Drosophila melanogaster: one gene and its partners. The protein of the gene in region 2 interacts with the protein of the main gene of each other region in a pairwise test. Each region holds a gene or a part of one and is shown on either strand. Other genes may lie near its edges.

Region 1 (4,423 bases), on a different chromosome or scaffold from region 2:
TCGATGACCAGTCCAGGTTTACACTAAGAGCCAAGGCACAGACGCCGATGAATCCCAGACACTGAAGGCGGGGACGTTTCCAGCGTATGAATCCTTGGACAGCCACGTGCAGCAAGTAAAAGGGCCAAAAGCTGACGATAAAGTCTCCAAAGTTCTCCAGCTCATCGTTGCTGTCATCCCGACGCCGCTGGGAAAAAGGATACAAACTCCAGCCCTCCGGAAACTGGAACTTTGCCTCCTTGACTATGTGATCCCGCAGCCCATAGATCTTGTACAGGCCCACAACTATATACGCTATATAGACCCCGAAGTAGACGAAAATTTCGCAGCGGGTGAGCAGGGATCGGTCTGGTAACCTTGACATCACTACACCACCGATTTGGACTCTTCATTCCGGGAAAAGATTGCGATAGGGATGTGAAAAACCAGCGAAAATATCGATATTTTTATACCCTTGCTGGAGAAGAGTACCGGCATTTTAATTACATGCATGTACATATTTCTCTCATGTTATAAATTTGACCCATTTAAAAAGAAGTTTTTGTTAATTTTTGGTTGTATTTAATTAACCAATTACGATGGAGTGAACAATAAAAGAGCAGCAGTTAAAATGGTAATGGTATCTACATATAGAACTAAGTCTACAAAACTACCTCTAGAATAGCATCTCTTGCTGCTCTTCCGGACTCAATTTTGGTTTCATCAGGAGATAGGATATGGTTGATGTACATACACTGATGGGACAACATGAAGTTAAACCCTATGCTTATGGCTTCTTAATGGTAACTTATTGATTCCAGCTGAACGTTTGTAAAACCAGAACTCCGAAGGCTTATTTCTAGTTTAGCATATCGTCTCCGTAATTGGCCTTCAATTCCTTCTTGACCTTTTTATTCTGGCTCGTCGTGCGTCGCTGCAGGTGTCTCCAGAGCGTGCTCTTGGGGATCTCGAAGAGGTTGGCCGCGTGGTTTTGGGACATTCCCTCATTCAGGCAGGCATGCACCGCCTTGGCTAATTTGTCGCGCAGCTCATCCTTGGGCGTATTGTCGCGCTTTCGGCAGGACACGAAGTTGGGCAGGCGTCCCTGGGCGGACAGACGAACCTTGTGTCTGTGCAACGTGGACATGGGGATTTGCAACTCACTGCTGATGCTCTTTAAAGAATGTCCATTCTTCAGTCGCTCGTAGGCCTCTTGCAGGGATGGTCGTTCCCGATTGTTTCGCATGTAGGCGGGATTAGTGCGCACGCGTCTCCAGAGGACTGTCTTGGAGATATCAAACCGGTCGGCGGCCTTTTGTAGGCTTAAGCCCTCGATGATAACCGCGTCGGCCGCCAGATCCAAAGCATCGTTGATATCGTCTTTTACCTCACGTTTCAGAGCTGCGAACTGCTGGATTCGCGTTGGCTTGCAATCGGACAATCGTTTGACAGCCTTCGCACTTATGGGGCGACGGATTCGCGTCTTTCCCCCGCCCAACTTGCGGGGCTTATCGTCTATTTCCTCGTCCACAAGTTGGTCGTGCACGTCGTCATCGTCGTCCATTTCAGTACCAGCTTCTAGTTCCATAAGAGGATCGGCTTGCGCGAACTCCTCGTCGATCATTTGTGATTCGTGCTCCTCAGAATCCTCAGCAAGGTCCGCATCCACGTCATCATCGCCCAGGTCCACTTCAGCGCCACTGGTACCCGTTTCATCTGCCTCAATTTTGGACAAACTCGATGCTGACTGCGTTATGGTGAAAGTGCCCGTGTTCTCGGTGAGTATAAATTGGTTGCCGCTGGAACTTCCGTCCATGTGCTCGATGGAGTAGGTGATCTTCGGCGGCTCGTAGACATCAATGTACTCCAATGACCGACTGGAATGGCTGGGCTGGTGTTGAGAACCCGCGAGTGTAGTGGCTGGGACGGAGACCATCGGATGTGGCTCTTCCTCGTCGTCCAGCAGCTCGGCCTCAGCGATTTGGAGTCCTGTAATGGACTTGGCCGACTCCACGGCTAACGAATGGTTCTCTACATCGACACTGGGTGGACTAGCCGATGGATTGCACTCAAAGCTGATGGCAGATTTGATGCCGAGGAGGTTAATGGCCTCCAGGAACTCGGGGAGCGACGCGGAGGGCAGGCTAGTCTCGCCCATGTAAATGAAGGACAGCATGCACTCCAGCAAATCTCCGCGGATGTCGGGCAGCATTATGGTTGCCTCCTGGCCGCGCGGAACGTCCACCAGGAGGTTGCGCATCAGTTCGCTGCAAGTGCTTAGCACGAATAGATGGGCGCGCACTCGAACGCCGTCCCTGGAGGCCAGCACCACCTCGCAGTGCTGATTATCATTACGCAGCGAGCGCTGGATGTCCATTATCGTGGATGAGTGGCCCATCCACTTAAGATGATTCTGCAAACGGCGACGATTGTAGATTTAAATTTCACTTATCCCGGGGATTTGGGAGGACGCGTTTCACTTACCATCTTGTTGTGTTTTGATTTCCAATTGATTTCCAAGAAGTTTTCAATTCTCGCAATTCCAAACGCAACGCGTTGTCACAGTTTTCAGCCAGGGTAGTCGAATGCACCTAAGATCTCGGTATTTCGGTATGTTTTCCATGAGATGTACTTCAAGGAACGTGTTGGTATTTTTAATGAAATAATAAATGAAGTAGTAGGGTACATTTCTTTTTTTTAAAAATCATTTAACCAAATATTCTAGAAAAGTTTTGTGGTTGGTAATGAAGAATAATTGTAAATGTTTTCCATCTGCTGTACTTCAAGGAACGTGTTGGTATTTTTAATTAAATAATAAATCAAGTAGTAGGGTATATTTATTTTTTATATAAATCATTTAAGCAAATATTCCAAAAAAATGTTGAGGTTTTTAATGAAGAATAATTCGGTGTTAACGTACACGAAATACAATAATGTATGTGCGGTATTTGTGTTGTACCGAAATTGTCAAAATACCGAAGTAGGGCTGTCGAGTAGATTAATTTGGCGCACTGACAACCCTAGGCTCCAACAACTATATTGACATTTTAGCATTACATAAATTGTCAAAAACGGAGCAAATTGTTGAATTTATATTGAACAGTTTGTAGAATGGCGGCCTTAATCAGGAATCTGGGTGCCCGTGCCGCAGTCGCCGCTCTGTCGGCCAAACATGGTTGGTAAATGCCTTGCCTCTAGAGCTTCAACTGATCTATTCTAACCCTTCAACAATCAGTGGTGCCCGCTGCTGGATCCACTGCTCTTCGGATGGCCAGTACAACGCCAGTGGAGCCTAAGAAGGCGGATAAGCGTAGGTAAAAGTCGACTTTATCGCGGTGTCAATTACATGTAAGACATTCCACCCACAGCCACTGTCCGCCAGCCGGACGCAGTCGCTCGCTCGCATCTCTCCGATTTCGGGCGCTATGTGGCCGAGTGCCTGCCCAAGTACGTGCAGAAGGTGCAGCTGACCGCCGGCGATGAGCTGGAGGTGCTTATTGCGCCAGAGGGCGTGGTGCCCGTGCTGCAGTTCCTTAAGGATCATCATCAGGCGCAGTTTACCAACCTGGTTGACATTGCCGGCGTGGATGTGCCCTGTCGCAAGAACCGATTCGAGGTGGTCTACAATTTGCTCTCGCTGCGCTACAATTCGCGCATCCGCGTTAAGACCTACACCGATGAGCTGACTCCTCTGGACTCCGCCTGCGAGGTGCATAAGGCGGCCAACTGGTACGAACGTGAGATCTGGGACATGTACGGCGTGTTCTTTGCCAACCATCCCGACTTGCGCCGCATCCTGACCGATTACGGTTTTGAGGGACATCCCCAGCGCCGCGACTTCCCGCTGTCCGGCTACGTAGAGCTGCGCTACGATGATGAGAAGAAGCGAGTCGTCTGCGAGCCCTTGGAGTTGGCCCAGGAGTTCAGGAAGTTTGACTTGTCGGCGCCTTGGGAACAGTTCCCCAACTTCCGCAACGCTAATCCCCCCGCCGAGGTAGTTCCGCCACAGGCTCCAGCCAAGAAGTAATCCGAAGTCGGTTTGTTAAATGGTAATTAGATCAATAAAACGTGATCACTATGAGATGTTTAAACATAATGGAAACGACGGTCTACTTAGCTATTTAGCTTTCTTGGCTCGTTCCTAAACTACTTCCACATGAAAACGCAATTCGTATCAAACCAGAGGGTCACAAGTATTTATTGATTTCCGTATTGTTTACATACATGGTAGTTTACACTGAGAATTAAACGAATTCGCCGGATCTAGCACATCCGAAAACCTCCTCGAGGGCCATGTGCATATACGTACATACATACATAGATATAAAACGTTAAGTAAAACAAGTGTGGGCCACTAGACAATTCGTGCGCCTGCGCAGCGGTGCCCGGCGAAAGTACAGGTGCAAGGACGTACTTAAGTTTAGGCCGGAGCGGATTGGGGTAG
Region 2 (6,219 bases):
CGGCAACATGTACATTTGGGAGGGAGACACGGGCAAGATACGCGCCGTTTATCGGGCGGACAGTGCCATCGTGAATTGCGTGCAGCCGCATCCGAGCATCTGCATGCTGGCCACCAGTGGCATTGACCATAACATTAAGATCTGGTCGCCGTGCGCCGCCAGCGCCGAGGAGCGACCCAATCTCGTGGCGGATGTGACGCGTTTCGTTGAGGATAACCAGGAGAAGATGCGCCTCGATCCATTCGAACTGCACACGCGCAATGCGTACTGTTTCAATAATTAGGAACTGTGGCTTATTGTGCATCTTGATCTATATTGGCTGCATGCATGTGCAACAGCAAGCGAGATCCAATCGGCAATATATCAAATATTAGTGTAATTTAAGCTAAGCGAACATATTTTTGTTAATTTGTAAACGAATTACTCTGTATACAAAGTACGAAGCTTATGAAGGATGTTATGAAAGACTATTAAAATAAATGCAGACATGCAAATCGACCGGTTTTCGAATCGTAATTTAATGAAAAGCTCAGGATGATTTGCATTTGTTTTTTTTTTTTTTTTGTTTTAATTATTCTGTTTATTTACCGTAGTTTCTTTAAATCTATGCTCACATGTATACATATACATACATATAAATATTTTACTTTATGTAATAATATTCAAGTATAGTTTTTACTCAAGTTGTATTTTTCATTCTAACGTATTTCCTTACTCTTTTGTTTAAACTGTGTAGAACTGCTAGCTTCGCACTGAAACACCTTTTCTTCGTTTTGTTATTAATACAATATATGTATGTATCTCGCGTATGATCAGAAGTTGGGGAAAAACGCGCTTGTCCACACACAATTAATTGAAGTACAATTTTGCATTTGTTTCTATTTTATTGTTTAAATATAGATGAAAATGAGTTTGTCTGTCTGGAGGCGTGGCATGTCTGGGGTTGTAGTTAGTGGCTTAAAAACTAACCGAATGTGTTGTAATATTCGCGCCCGTCGTGGCTTTTTCCATCTACTTGCACATTTCACACTATATTTATAATTATCTTTATATATTTTAAATGGATCTTCTTTAATTACTTTACAAAAGTGCGTTTTTTGTTTTGTTTCGTTTCGTTATGTTTTGTTTTGCTTTAGGGGCTGCTGTCCATATCGTTTTATTTATACAGAGTGGTTTGTATTGTTAATAATATATTACAAACTATTTTATGCAGAAATTAAACAAAAAGAATTCAAATCGAGTTCTGTGGGGTTGTCGGTAAGTGTTGTTTTTTTTTTTTTTGCAATTTGGTTGATCAGATGTGAATGAGCGGGTGTGGGAGTGGGCGGGCGGATTTGGCCTCCACCTCTACTTTACAGGCTAATCATTTCAATCTGTCCAGCTTTAGCTTTGTGTGGTCATTTGTTGGCGTTCTTCATCCTCCTCGTGCACTCTTATATGAATTTGTATACCAAATGTCGTTCTCGTAATGTTGTTTCTTTTGCCGCTGGTTGGAATTTTGTTTTCTTGCGTACATATAAGTTTCTTATAGTTGGTTGTTGTTATTTATTATGTATTTTTTGTTTCGATTATTGTTTAATACCATCAACCTTCCCGCTTTATCGAACTGGGTGTCTCTGCGAGGCCTTTCACTTTGAGGCGATCGGCGGTCTTAAGAAATGCTGGCAATTGTTCCTGGGACACGTTCACCTCACCGGCGTACATGAACTCCAGTATAGCCTGTAGGTGAATGTAGGAGACATCTTTCAGGATAATGATCGGATGCTTCGATGGGTTCTCCTGCGGGTGCATACATTACATTATCAAACGATTGCTTAGTTATTACCGCGTGAAAAACTCACCTCCAGTAGCGCTTTAAAGTAGGGACTGCAAGCGGAAAGCACCATTTTGTGGGCTTTGCAGGTTTGGCCCTCGCAGGCGAGTGTTACCTGTGAACAATAAGCATTGGGAAATCAGTAAGATCCGCCAGGCATTTTCACCGCAACAAATTGAACAAAAACGCAGAGCGAAGAACGAACACAGGTAAAAGAAAAACGAATTGAAAATAGCGTGAGGGCCAGGTATCTGCTACTCAGACCAACTGAGCTCAGCCGGTGACTGACCCTCCACAAGGGGCGGCCGCGAGCCAATCGGGCCAAGAGTAGCATAATAAACCTCAGCGCGCCCCTGGGACTGGTTAACTACAGTCGAACTTCTATGGCTTGATTTTGACTGAATTTATAAGTAACTTCAAAATATATTGACATCTAATATCATCATTCTAACTAATAGTTCGACTGCAATAGTTTTTCCATCGCCGCTTCTGGAAAGTTTCATTTGGTTACTCACATCTGTGAAGCTCTTCTCGTCGCGCAGGTGACGGAACGAGGTCACCATATTCGTTTGAAAATCGTTCCATTTTAGAAAGAACTGTTGATCCGACGACATCATGAAGAAGCTTTTGTTTTGTGGGGGCGTCGCGCTCGCTGAACAGAATGCTGGGAGGGGGGTGGGCAGGAGGCTTAATTTGGACTAGTGACCGAAAGGTTCACCGTTAGATGGTCTTAATTCGCAGCGGACCGCTTAATCCGTGGGTTTTCGCTTGGGTTTTCTTTGACGCACTCTGCAAGAGAAGTAAACAGACAGCATTAGTGAACGAACGGTAACGGCAAGGCAGAGTAAGACAAACAAACAACAGCTTGGCGAAATTAGCAGTGAACGTTACGAGAGCATTGCAAAACAGCACGTCTCTTGGCCAAAAGTATTCTGCAAATATAAATGTGCTGCGGCGCATGTGCAGCGTTTGTGCAGTGGGAAATGGGAGTTCGGAATGCACAGCGTTGTTACTCTGTACATGTGTGAGTGAGCTGGAAAATGTCAAAGTGCTGAGACAGCGCTAAATAAAAACAGCAAACAGCTGCCAGCAAAGGTTAAGCAAAGAGGCAAAAATATCAAATCGTCGCTGGCTCGCTCTGTTGAATGCCTTTCACTTTTCAAGGCAATTTCTGCATTTTCAGTCGTACACACATGTGTACTTATTGCTTATTTGAATTCGTATGCGGCACAGTGGCTTAGAACGCGGAATTAGTCTGTTGCACGCGATGCACGCTGCAGCTGCCGATGGCAATGTATTTTTAGGCGCACTCCAGTTAAATAGCATTCATTCCGTGATTTTTGACCAAAAAAGAACCAAGATGGCGGCACCATTCGCACTTCCATTCAGTGACTTTGTCTTAATTTCACTCCCACTCCATCCCACTGTGCGGCCAACATGTGTTTTTCTTCTTGAGGAAATAGCGTTGTTGTTGATGCGACTCTCATATGCGCTACACTGGCAGCCGGCTGTATGTTTCTGCGTGGGCGGGGGAGAGCAGGGCATATAGTTTGCCGCCAGAGCTTAAACTTTAGTCTCACGCTCTCTGTGTCCCTCGTTCTCTTTCGCTAAGCGCTCTCAACTTTCAACTGCCGTTATGATTTCGCAATTACATTACAACAACAACAACTTAAAAGGCAGAGCAGACATCGCTGGAAATTCAGCTGCATAAGTGTAAGTGTGTGGCTGTGTGCGAGTGTGGGTAGGCGGCGGCAACTATCTCGCTTGCTCTTGCGCCCGGGGTTATCGGTAGCTTCTTCTAGGCTGAGTGCATTTCGTTGAATCATGGATGTTGAAAGTTGTCTAATTTCCGAACTATTGATTTTTCCCCTTCCCCGTCAAGAAACTGCATTGTTGCTTCTTGAAGACCAGTTTTGGTAACATCAGGAGAATGGAAAGGAGCGAGTGAGTCGGTGAGTAAGTGAGTGAGCGATGCGAGCGACAAAATCAACAACAACAACAACAACAACGGTTCAAAACGAGTTCCAACGAAAGTTGCAACACTCTCAACAATTTGAGCAGCTCCGTTTGTTGTTATTGCATTACTCAATCGGGAAGAACTCTACACTCGACGGAATAGTGTGCTCGTCTGAGATTTATTCTATTTCAATTCTTTTCTTTTGTTTTTGGTCAGACAATGGCGTCGGCAAACGTTCGTGGAAAGCCGCAGGAACCACCAAAATGCCTGGCGTCACATTAACCGAGCCGCCTTTGTTTATGCAAATATTATTGTAATATTTGGTTAAAATTAGGTCGCGCTTCGCGTTACTTTTTATTTCATATACACGCAGCAGCAGCACGCATACAGTCACGTCACGCACACATACAATCGCCGTTCACATACACTTGTCTTTTTTCCACACACTTTCCTAATCATTTTATTTGTTGTGCGCTGCTGCTTTTTACTCGGCGTGTACTCTGTACTTTTACCAATGCGTATATCGCCTGCCGACCGCCGCAGGAGCACGCTAATTGCGCCGTGGACACGCTTTTTCTATATCTTTTTGTTTCAATTTTAATACATACACGCTTTTTTTTTGTCCCGCACTTAACTCACCTCTGCTTTCTCGCTAACGCTGCTTTCTTTTTTCTCTTTCACCGATTTCGATTTTCGATACACTCGTGATTGTTCGATATGAATCGGCCTAATTTCGATGCGTTTTGTTTTTTTCCAGTTAATGAACACAAATTAATGTACTGAAATATCTTTTATTCGATTTATAACACAAAAAGCATTGCTTGAATTGATGCTTGTTATTTTGTACGCCAAATAATATAACAATCGTTCAGATCTATCGGCTAGCAGCCCTGACTATGTAAATGGTTTCGTAGCAAACGGCTTTAGTCTGACACTGTGAGAATTCTTGTGGGCATTGCAAAATGTTTAAAACCACACGTTTATATAAAATTATAAATAAAAATGTGGTTATCACATGTTCGAGGCGGCAGAATACCGCCGCTGAAGTGGGACAGAGCTTTCGGCAGAGGGCGTGGCTGCTCGCCAGAGAGCGGTACAAGGATCATGAGCACGTTCATTACAGCTCTGTTCTGGAGACCAAAATAAAACCCTCTTTCTCGATTCCTGAGACACAACAGCATTTGCCCGACGACTGGATGGACGACTACGAGTTCTATCAGGGCGCCCAGGAGGGAGGGAATAAGCAGGGCACACCGGATCCTTCGTTACCCGCCTCAAAGGTTCCATGCAACGGCTGCGGCGCAGACCTTCATTGCACGAATGCCTCCCTGCCAGGCTATATACCAAGTGAAATATTCAGGGATAGGACGCAGCAGGAACTGCAAACGATCACCTGCAAGCGTTGTCACTTTCTGAACCACTACAACATCGCATTGGATGTGGTGGTGGCCCCATCGACCTATGTGGACACCATATCCCGCATTCAAGACAAATTTGCACTGGCTATTGTTCTGGTGGACCTTCTCGATTTTCCCTGCTCCATTTGGCCGGGCATGCAAAACATATTGGGCGCAAAGCGACCCGTCTTCCTGGTGGGCAACAAGGTCGATCTGCTGCCGCGCGACTCCAACATCTATCTTCAGCATATTAAGGATTCTCTGCAGCGCGAGTTCATCAAGCATGGCGGTGGAAATGGTCTAAATATCAAGAATGTCAGTTTGATATCCGCCAAAACGGGCTATGGCATCGAGGAGCTAATAACGCAGCTGCACAAAACGTGGGCCTACAAAGGCGATGTCTATCTGGTGGGCTGCACCAATGTGGGCAAGAGCTCGCTGTTCAACATTCTGCTTAACTCGGACTACTGCCGGCCGGAGGCCAGTGACCTGGTGCGCAAGGCCACCACCTGTCCGTGGCCGGGCACCACACTCAAACTGCTGCGGTTTCCAATCTTGCGTCCATCGAACGATCGAGTCTATCAGCGCTTTAAGAGATTGGTTTCGGAGCGCAGCGAGAAGGCGGAAATGGAAAAGGAGCGTCGCGCAGTGGCAAGGGAAACGGGTTCAGCGGCAGCTGCTCAACCAGTGGCTCCGGTTGGACGCACCTTCGATCGACGCGAAAATCTCCATGATGCCTTTGCCATGGCCGGTGGCTCGCGACCGATTACAACGCTAAACGATCGGGGCAAGGAGTACAAGGAAGCGCGTTGGGTCTACGACACACCGGGTGTGATGCAACCCGACCAAATATCTCCCCTGCTCACCGCCGAGGAGCTGGTAAAGCTGCAGCCCGCCACCATGATCCGACCGCGCGCCTTTCGGCTGCGGCCCCAGATGAGCATACTACTGGGCGGTTTGGCCAGATTGGATCTGCTGGAAATAACAAGCCCAAGGAAACACTTTGACTGGCTGAAGGTGTTTGTATTTGCCTCAGAGCATCTTCCCATCAT
Region 3 (7,968 bases), on a different chromosome or scaffold from region 2:
AAAGAGAAAGGAGCAGTTTGGTAAGCAGTTAAGAGTTGCAAAAAAAAATGTATATGTAAAGTAACTTGGAGGCCGCTTAGTTATCCCGGATGCCCGTTCCGTAGTTGGCGCCGCCGGCACGGTTCAGTGCTTCACGGAAGAGCTCAATGTCCAGCTCGGCCTCCACTCCCGCCTGAAGTTCCACGGCAAAATTCTGCAAGAGATTAGAGATGAGAGGATCTATTTCTGCCTCTGGGCTCTGGCATCTCTAGCTATTGGCTACTCACGTTGAGGACATCCTTGATCAGCGCCTTGTCCGTGGACATCTTGGCCCTCTGGATGACGCCCACCTCCTGCCCGATCCACGTCAGGAAGATGAACTTTTTGCGCTTGGACATCTCGTCACCCATCTGGATGCGTATGTAGCCAAAGGCGCGCTCCGAGTCGCCGAACTGCTGTCGGAATTCCTCAAAGCACTGACCGCGCGCATGTACAATAATCTGGGCGCCATCGAACTTGAATACCGCCCACTCGGTGTCTGTCAGATCGGAGCGTACATCCTCGTAGGCCTCGCGAATCGAGTCCTTCTCCAGCGACGTGGCCAGCGGCATCTGCGAAAGAGCAAGGGGGAAGAGGATTATAAGCAAGCGAAGAGGGGAACTATAAGCAACTTTCAGACGGAAGTATATATCTTAATCATGTATTCCAAGTCCGAATCGTTTCGCCAAGGCGAATGGATCATCCGCTTTGGCCCATCGATAGCGAAATGTATTGTATGTACTCAATGCGGGGCCAAGTACTCTTGACGGCGCCATCTATGAGTCAGATTTAAGCGGTGCTTTCGCTTTCGATGGTTATATTACATTCAATTCGACTTGTTTCCGTGTCAGGCAACCTCAAGTCGGCCAGGGGAATAGGCACGCCATTGCATCGCCCACTTGCATTACGTTCGGGCAGATTCACGGAAAGCAATTTGTTGCCGCTTTAGTGCTTTATAAACATAATACCAGCGGGCCAGCGGAAAAGTAGCCAATGTAAATATGTACATATTTCGAAGAAAAAATAAAGGCTTTATTATGATAACATACTGGAACATACCCGCATATTAAATTACAGCATTTTTGATAATGATATCAGCACACACATATGAGGGTTCAGGGTTCTGGTTCAAAGCCCAAAAATATGATGATTTAAAAATATCGATATGTAAATGAATTTAAATTGCTTGATAAGTTCGAATGGCTTGATAGTGAAATGTAAAAAACCAAGTCTCAATACGATTTTGGTTAGCTAAAGATTAATTTTAATTGTGGTTTATTAAGTGATCTTTGGGGTAGCATTATGTGCACAAAGTTAGGCTCAGCTTAGATGCGTGGAAAGCGTGTAAAGCGATTGGATCGATGGTTTTTGATACGAGTATACTTGTAGTACGGATCGGAAAACTACCCTTTCACGTAGTGCACTCTTATTGTCTTAAGCGGATCGCCGCATTAAAATCAATTTACGCGTGACAATTTTCAATCAGCAGCCGGCGGAAAGCAGGTCAGAGATTTGATAAGTGACTTGGGGTCGTCGGAACGGGATGACAACAAACAAAGAGAGCCAAATGACTGTTGGTCCAACTGCCAGCCAAATGGATCGGGCTTGGAGTCAGGAACTAGACTCGCGTATAAATAGACATTGAAGCTGGGCCAGAGATACGGATACAGATACAGCTAAAGGTACAAATACAGATACAGATACAGATACCGATGGGAAGATGGAGATAGAGATCGCTCTATAATGCGTTCAATGACCGGAGAGTACGGCGTCTGGTGAGAAAAATCAATTAGAAAAGCGACGACTGTCGAAAATATCAAAAGCCAAACAATTAAACCCAAAGATGTTTCGGGCGACGACTTTCACAACGCGACGCAGTAAGAACTTGGAGTTTGTATGTGTATTCTATGCGTCGCATAGAACTATGGAACAGCTCTGAATCTCCCGTTTCGTGGCTCTGAATTAATTAGTCGGAAGGCAGGCAAAAAAAAAAAAAAAATGAACAAGATGCGGACGCAAACTGTGCCAAAAATGAGCGGACGACTAAGAAACCGTTGCAGCGAATGACCCACCGAAAATACCCGACAAATTTTCCCCCAAACAAGCAAGATAGCAGATACAAATGTATATAGAAATGTCGGTGCTCCTCCTGCAACCTCCACGGGTACGTGAGCCAAATTGTTGGCTAAAATTAGCTGAAATTAAGTTTCCAGCCGATAAGCCCGATAACGTTCGCACATATGTATCTATATACATATATATGCCTATATGGCCATATCTCCACTTCTGACACAATGACAACACGACAAATTAGATCACTCCAGTTGGGCTGGGAGTGCACCCAAAGATCGGATAGGATAGGCTCGGATAGCCCCACCTCCGGAATTGACGCAATGCCATCTATTTGCTCTGATAAGAAAACTGTCGCAAAACTAAAGGAACTGTAATTGATTTATTACCGAAAGTTCTTGGGATCGCCCGGGCAATTAGTGCCGGTTAAATCTGTAGGGCTCGCCTGTTCCAATTTTACACGCCATAAAAATTCAGCAGAGATTGACGCTTAGTCATAGGAATCGAGATATTGCGCTGGCTTCAGGAAATATATCGAAAAAAGGGAAACTACAATAGTTTCAAGGAAAGTCAGAGTGCGTCATCCTCGAAAGATTCGCATAGAAAAGCGAGCGACAGTAGCCAGTCCATAATTGATACGGTTAATCGTGATTCGTGATTCTCGATGGAAAACAGTGAGCAACAGTCTGATAAGTAACCTTGTAGCGATGACAGGAAATGTATATGCATACATATTTTCAGTTTCACTTGGAACCACCAATAATCCTAACAGATCCATTGAGTTAGCCACCTTTCCAGCAGGAAAGCCATCTGCCAAACAATTCGCGCTACTCAAATGGCTTGCGGCCATATCCGATAGATAGATGTACATATGTATTATATCTATCTATATATGTGGATTCGTACGTAATGAGCCATATATGCCCATGTGTGCATTCATACAGCACGCTGCATTGCCAGCTAGATATATGTAGCTATAGTATCTATAGCTATATCCATCGATATCTGGCAATGAGCGGGCCGGCGATGCATCAAACGCGGCTATAACTGCAGCTAAACGTAACCAAGCATAATACAGCAAATAACAATTTGCTAACGAAAACGAAACCGAATCCCCAGCGCCAGGTGCTTGAAACTGACTTGCTGCGTAACTCAACGCTGATACCCTTGTGAAAGGTATCGCAGTTGTAGAAATTCTTGGGATACCTTTAAAATAAACATCTATGAGAACGTATTGTATGTAAATAATCCTGTCCTTAAGTAAACAGCAAGCTATCGAGAACTACAGAGTGAATGGTATTATATCCGTATCTTTTATCATTCGATGCCTGGTATACACCACTGACATTATTTCAAGTTAACTCTGTTTGTATAGTTTATATATCTAATTGTATGGTATATATAGATCGTGAGCTCATAAAGCAAATACTGAAGTATGAACAATAAAAGTTAGAGTATTCACTTTCGATTGCACTAAACATTTTGTATTTTATTCGCTTTTTCATTGTGTATGTACAAGTGGACCGAAAGTGTTTTATGTTGACTAATGAATTTCAGATAAGAAACGAAAAAAATTCCAAATAATACGATCGGGCATGAATAAAGGAAAATAAAGGAGAGGCGATGCAGATATATATATGACATACATGCACAGTGAAAACACAATATGCGGAATATTCGTGGGTCGATGCAACTGACTCATTGGCAAGGCAATTGGAAAATAACCAATAAATTGCAGCGAATCGGTTATTAACCGCTTCGCCTTGGCCAGACTAAGTCCAAAAAAAAAAAAAAAATAAATAAAACAAGCAAAAAAAATAATTGGCAATGTTGTGACAAATTGCCAGTTGCCGCAGCGCAGTCGCAATGACGTACTTGCTCCGGGTCTGGGACCGCCGATATGTCAATGTTCTTTTTCCCCCACTTTACTTTACTTTATTTCATTTCATTTTATTTCTTATTTTTATTCCGCTGCCGTCGATGTTTCATTCGCCACGCACACTAGCACAAACAGTGCAGGAAACAAAGGAGCAAACTGTTTTGTGGCTGCTCACGCCCCAGACGCCCGGAGTCGGGGGATCTGGGATGCCGGATGGGGTTGTGGATGGTCATTCTGATGGGTACGGGGTATCGGTATGGGGTACGGGTTGCGGGTTGCGGGAAACGAGGTTCCGAGTGCGTGATTCATGCCGCCTGAAGGTGACGACGACGACGACGACTCGGGGAGTGGATGACCAAAATTGGCGCGTCAGGAAGCGATTCCCGAGCATTGAAAGGGTGTGGAATGGCCGATATCCCCATCGATTCCATACACTTTTATTACTCACTTGTTTGCCTGCACTTGGAAACCTCGAAATTGTAATATTTATTGGCCTGCACAATCGTTTTGTTTGATGCCATAGAGATTAGGTTGGCGAACAAGTGCTGTGCACCAAAAGTCACATGAAACGCAGATCTTGCGATCAGCTGAACGAAGTACCCGCAAGATAATGGCACTGCAACCATTTACCCAGCTCCCAGTGCCCGCTAAATACCGTAATCTGGAAAGCTATACGTGTTTGCCAGGGCGACGGACTGCGCCGCATTAACCGCAGCGTCTTCGTTGGGTATCGATGGTGTCTCGAGATCCCAGCGAGCAAGTGCAGCAGCGGCAGCCGCACTGCAAACGCACTTGAACTTGATATGCATCGCTGCGAAGGCGTCGCATTCGGATTCAGTTTTTGGGTTCGGATTCGGATTCGGAGTCGCCCCCACAATCTGCATCCGCCCCCGCAATCGCATCCAGCCAAGATGATATTGCCCCTCGGTACTCAGTCCCTGTTCCTGCCCTGCCCTGCCCCTTTCCGCCCAGCCAGCCAGAGCCATAAAACCCAGCTGCCACCCCGCCTCCTGGACCTCTGGCCCTCTGGGGCCGGTTCTTGTGGAGCGGAGTCGCCGGCGAGCCAATGTCAGAGTTATTTACAGACACTCACGCATGCCCAGCGATATACACACACGCCGCATGGGCCTGGGCTTCAGCAACTCCAGTGTGTACACCGGAAGAAAACTGTATTTTGTATCCTTAAAGCCAATGTCCGAGTTCAATACCACTGTTGGTAATTGAATTTTTATATTATTGTATATTTCTACTAATCCCCAATATTTTTCAATATATATTTGAACAATTTAAAGTTCGAAAATCGATCATTATTCTCAAGAGAATATTATTTTTTTTTAGCATTCTTTAATTGTAGGTATTTATAATGTAGTGGTGATTAGAACTTTCTTCCATTTTAAGGTTGTGCCATCGGATTGGCTCAGCCTTAAAAGTGATCAGCATACTGAGTACCCGTTTTCTTTCGGTGCATTTATAAGATATCTCTCCGGCCTGCTCTCTGACTCTCTGGACTTCTGGCTGCCCCATCCAATCTTTTATAATTCTTAATTTTCGGTCGTCCCCTGCCGGTATACACACACATTTCATGGTCCCTGCCCGGAGCAGGACTACCGACTCCATCCATCTCCAACTCCAACTCGAACTCCATGTGTGCCCAACCCACTCCCCACTACTCACCCTTCTCGGCTTGCTCTCCACCAATTGCTCGACCTCGATGCCGTCCGACATGCTGGTGCGCTGTGTTCTGGATGTGGATGTAGATATGGTTTTCAATGCGCAGCTGGGATGCTGGTGCTCTTGGGAACAGCTTCCTGGGATCGCGGGTGAGTCTCGAAGGGGAACGGAGTGCTGGTCTGGCGGGAAGAGTTGACCGTTTGCAAGGTGACAAAGTGGCAGAGTGGCAGAGTGGCACAATGACAACGAAAACAAAAATACACAGCGCCAGAAAAACAACAAAAAAACACAATCCAAGCGCACAAAGAGCGATGGACAGAACCAGCACAGTTCCAGATATCCAGATATTAGAGCAGCCGCTGAACTTCGTCCGACCACCACGAGTTGTATCTCACGAATGCGGCGTTGCCGGCGTCTGCAACTCCGAATGAAGTGCCGACCGTCGACCGCCGAAGTCGGCGGCGCAGTCGCCGTGCGTGCGAGCGAGATGCACTGGCCAGAAGGCCCCACGGCAGCTGTTAGACAAACAGCAGGTGCGACAGAGACGGCTGCGTGGGGAGCAAGCGAGAGCGGGCGAACTGCGACGATGTCGCCGCATTTGGCTTTATTTTCATTTTCATTTTCAGTGCAGGCATTTCGGAAACACCAAAAAAAGCCAGATGTTGGCTAGTGTTTTATGCGTACACCGCGAGAAAATTTAGTCTGCTAGATGCTCCTATAATGATAATGAAGTTTGCATAAATACTTCGTGTTAGCCATCTTAACTGGCAATGGCCACAGGAAACCATAACATCGTGCGCAAATATATGTATAGTCAGATGGATAGAAAAACAACGACTGTACTCCTCCATCTAAACTATGTACGTCCTTAAGGATCAGCTGAATCCCTTGAAGAAGATCTCTTCCTCGATGGTGAAGAGGCTTACGAGAAGTGAATTCTATCTATTCTATCAAAACATGAATTTATTGGATTTATTGGGTTTCTTCGGCAACACGGATTCCTGGCATAGTCATATCCAGTATCCCAGTGGAGTCACGTCTTACCACTGCAGCTCCCGGTCATGTTATTTTCCTTCATCGAGGGCTATTCCATTCACTTCCTGCGCCGAAAAAACGAGCAACAATTGCAAGCGAAAAGGTAGTCTTTGAAATAGATGCTATAGGTGCTAATCGGAATCGCTATATATCCAAAACTATGTCTAGATCAGCACTGATCCCTGCCAGCTTGTCGGCTGGGAATGCGATCCGTGGAATTAGCGCAGAACATTTGTGCAAACACATAACGAGCCGAGATTGTATTCTCTGGCACTCAAGTGCCGTAGGAATGCGGCTGATTTGATGATTAGCGCGGTGCGTGGGCCGAACAGCAGCTGCTCCGCCGCTGCAGACGCCATGGATGATGCAGTGCACCGTATTAATTTGTCCCAATCGGCAGGGAACGTCCTCCGCGCAACATGGGAGTTGCCCGGCAACAGGGCTGCCTGGCAGCATGCTGCTAGCCACAAGTTGCCGTGGTGAGTTTGCGCCATTCGGCATCGCCCACGCAACATGTTGCGGCAGCTAGCCCAGCGGAGCGGAGGCGTCGTCCTCGTCCGCCAGTCGTCAGTTGCCCACGACGCGTTACCCGCAACGGTAGCAGGCGAGCCCTCTCCTGGCAGCCAAAGCCGCCAGCTCGTGTGCTCGGATACCCCCGAGTTCCATATCGCAATCTTTGCCAGCCTGCGCGCAAGCGTCGCCGTTTCAATAGCAATTGAGTGAAATTTTATTTTATTTTTTTCGGTGACCCGCAACGGGACATGTCAGGCGGTGGTGGCCAGTGATTGCCACGAATCACCCGGTCATCCGGGATGTTCAACTACGAGGAGGGGGATGCCGACCAGGCGGCCATGGCTGCAGCGGCTGCCTATAGGGCACTGCTCGACTACTATGCCAATGCGCCAAGTGCGGCGGGTCACATAGTGTCGCTCAACGTGGCACCCTACAATGGAACTGGAAACGGAGGCACTGTCTCCTTGGCGGGCAATGCGACAAGCAGCTATGGCGATGATGATAGGGATGGCTATATGGACACCGAGCCCAGTGACCTGGTCACCGAACTGGCCTTCTCCCTGGGCACCAGTTCAAGTCCAAGTCCCAGTTCCACACCCGCTTCCAGCTCCAGTACTTCCACTGGCATGCCCGTCTGGCTGATACCCAGCTATAGCATGATTCTGCTGTTCGCCGTGCTGGGCAACCTGCTGGTCATCTCGACGCTGGTGCAGAATCGCCGGATGCGTACCATAACCAACGTGTTCCTGCTCAACCTGGCCATATCGGACATGCTGCTGGGC

Evidence for each region. The genes of interacting proteins can lie anywhere in the genome.
Region 1: the proteins of lolal (region 2) and CG15812 interact in a two-hybrid assay, tested with the Drosophila melanogaster proteins (one large-scale study listed by BioGRID).
Region 3: the proteins of lolal (region 2) and CG6891 interact in a two-hybrid assay, tested with the Drosophila melanogaster proteins (one large-scale study listed by BioGRID).

Annotation. Positions count from the first base shown.
Region 1 is NT_037436.4:3,158,140-3,162,562, reverse strand, and holds CG15812 (uncharacterized protein), read right to left. Parts: upstream 2,573-4,423; 5' UTR 2,467-2,572; coding exon 2,464-2,466; intron 2,457-2,463; exon of another isoform or gene 2,393-2,456; coding exon 839-2,392; 3' UTR 544-838; downstream 1-543. Other genes in the region: rasp, read right to left, coding at 1-364; ND-30 (NADH dehydrogenase (ubiquinone) 30 kDa subunit), read left to right, coding at 3,091-3,154, 3,215-3,289, 3,348-4,006.
Region 2 is NT_033778.4:18,153,564-18,159,782, forward strand, and holds lolal (lola like), read right to left. Parts: upstream 4,456-6,219; 5' UTR 4,379-4,455; exon of another isoform or gene 4,197-4,378; intron 3,330-4,196; exon of another isoform or gene 3,184-3,329; intron 2,817-3,183; exon of another isoform or gene 2,603-2,816; 5' UTR 2,431-2,602; coding exon 2,329-2,430; intron 1,929-2,328; coding exon 1,842-1,928; intron 1,780-1,841; coding exon 1,585-1,779; 3' UTR 532-1,584; downstream 1-531. Other genes in the region: adp (adipose), read left to right, coding at 1-283; CG10914 (uncharacterized protein), read left to right, coding at 4,733-6,219. UniProt on the Drosophila melanogaster protein: Required, together with Trl, for maintaining the repressed state of target genes including homeotic genes Scr and Ubx. May also be involved in the activation of homeotic genes. Binds to a DNA Polycomb response element (PRE) at the bithorax complex.
Region 3 is NC_004354.4:18,773,303-18,781,270, reverse strand, and holds the start of CG6891 (uncharacterized protein), read right to left. Parts: upstream 6,044-7,968; 5' UTR 5,693-6,043; coding exon 5,642-5,692; intron 4,774-5,641; exon of another isoform or gene 4,416-4,773; intron 1,639-4,415; exon of another isoform or gene 1,426-1,638; intron 591-1,425; coding exon 267-590; intron 194-266; coding exon 77-193; 3' UTR 1-76. Other genes in the region: CCKLR-17D3 (Cholecystokinin-like receptor at 17D3), read left to right, coding at 7,486-7,968.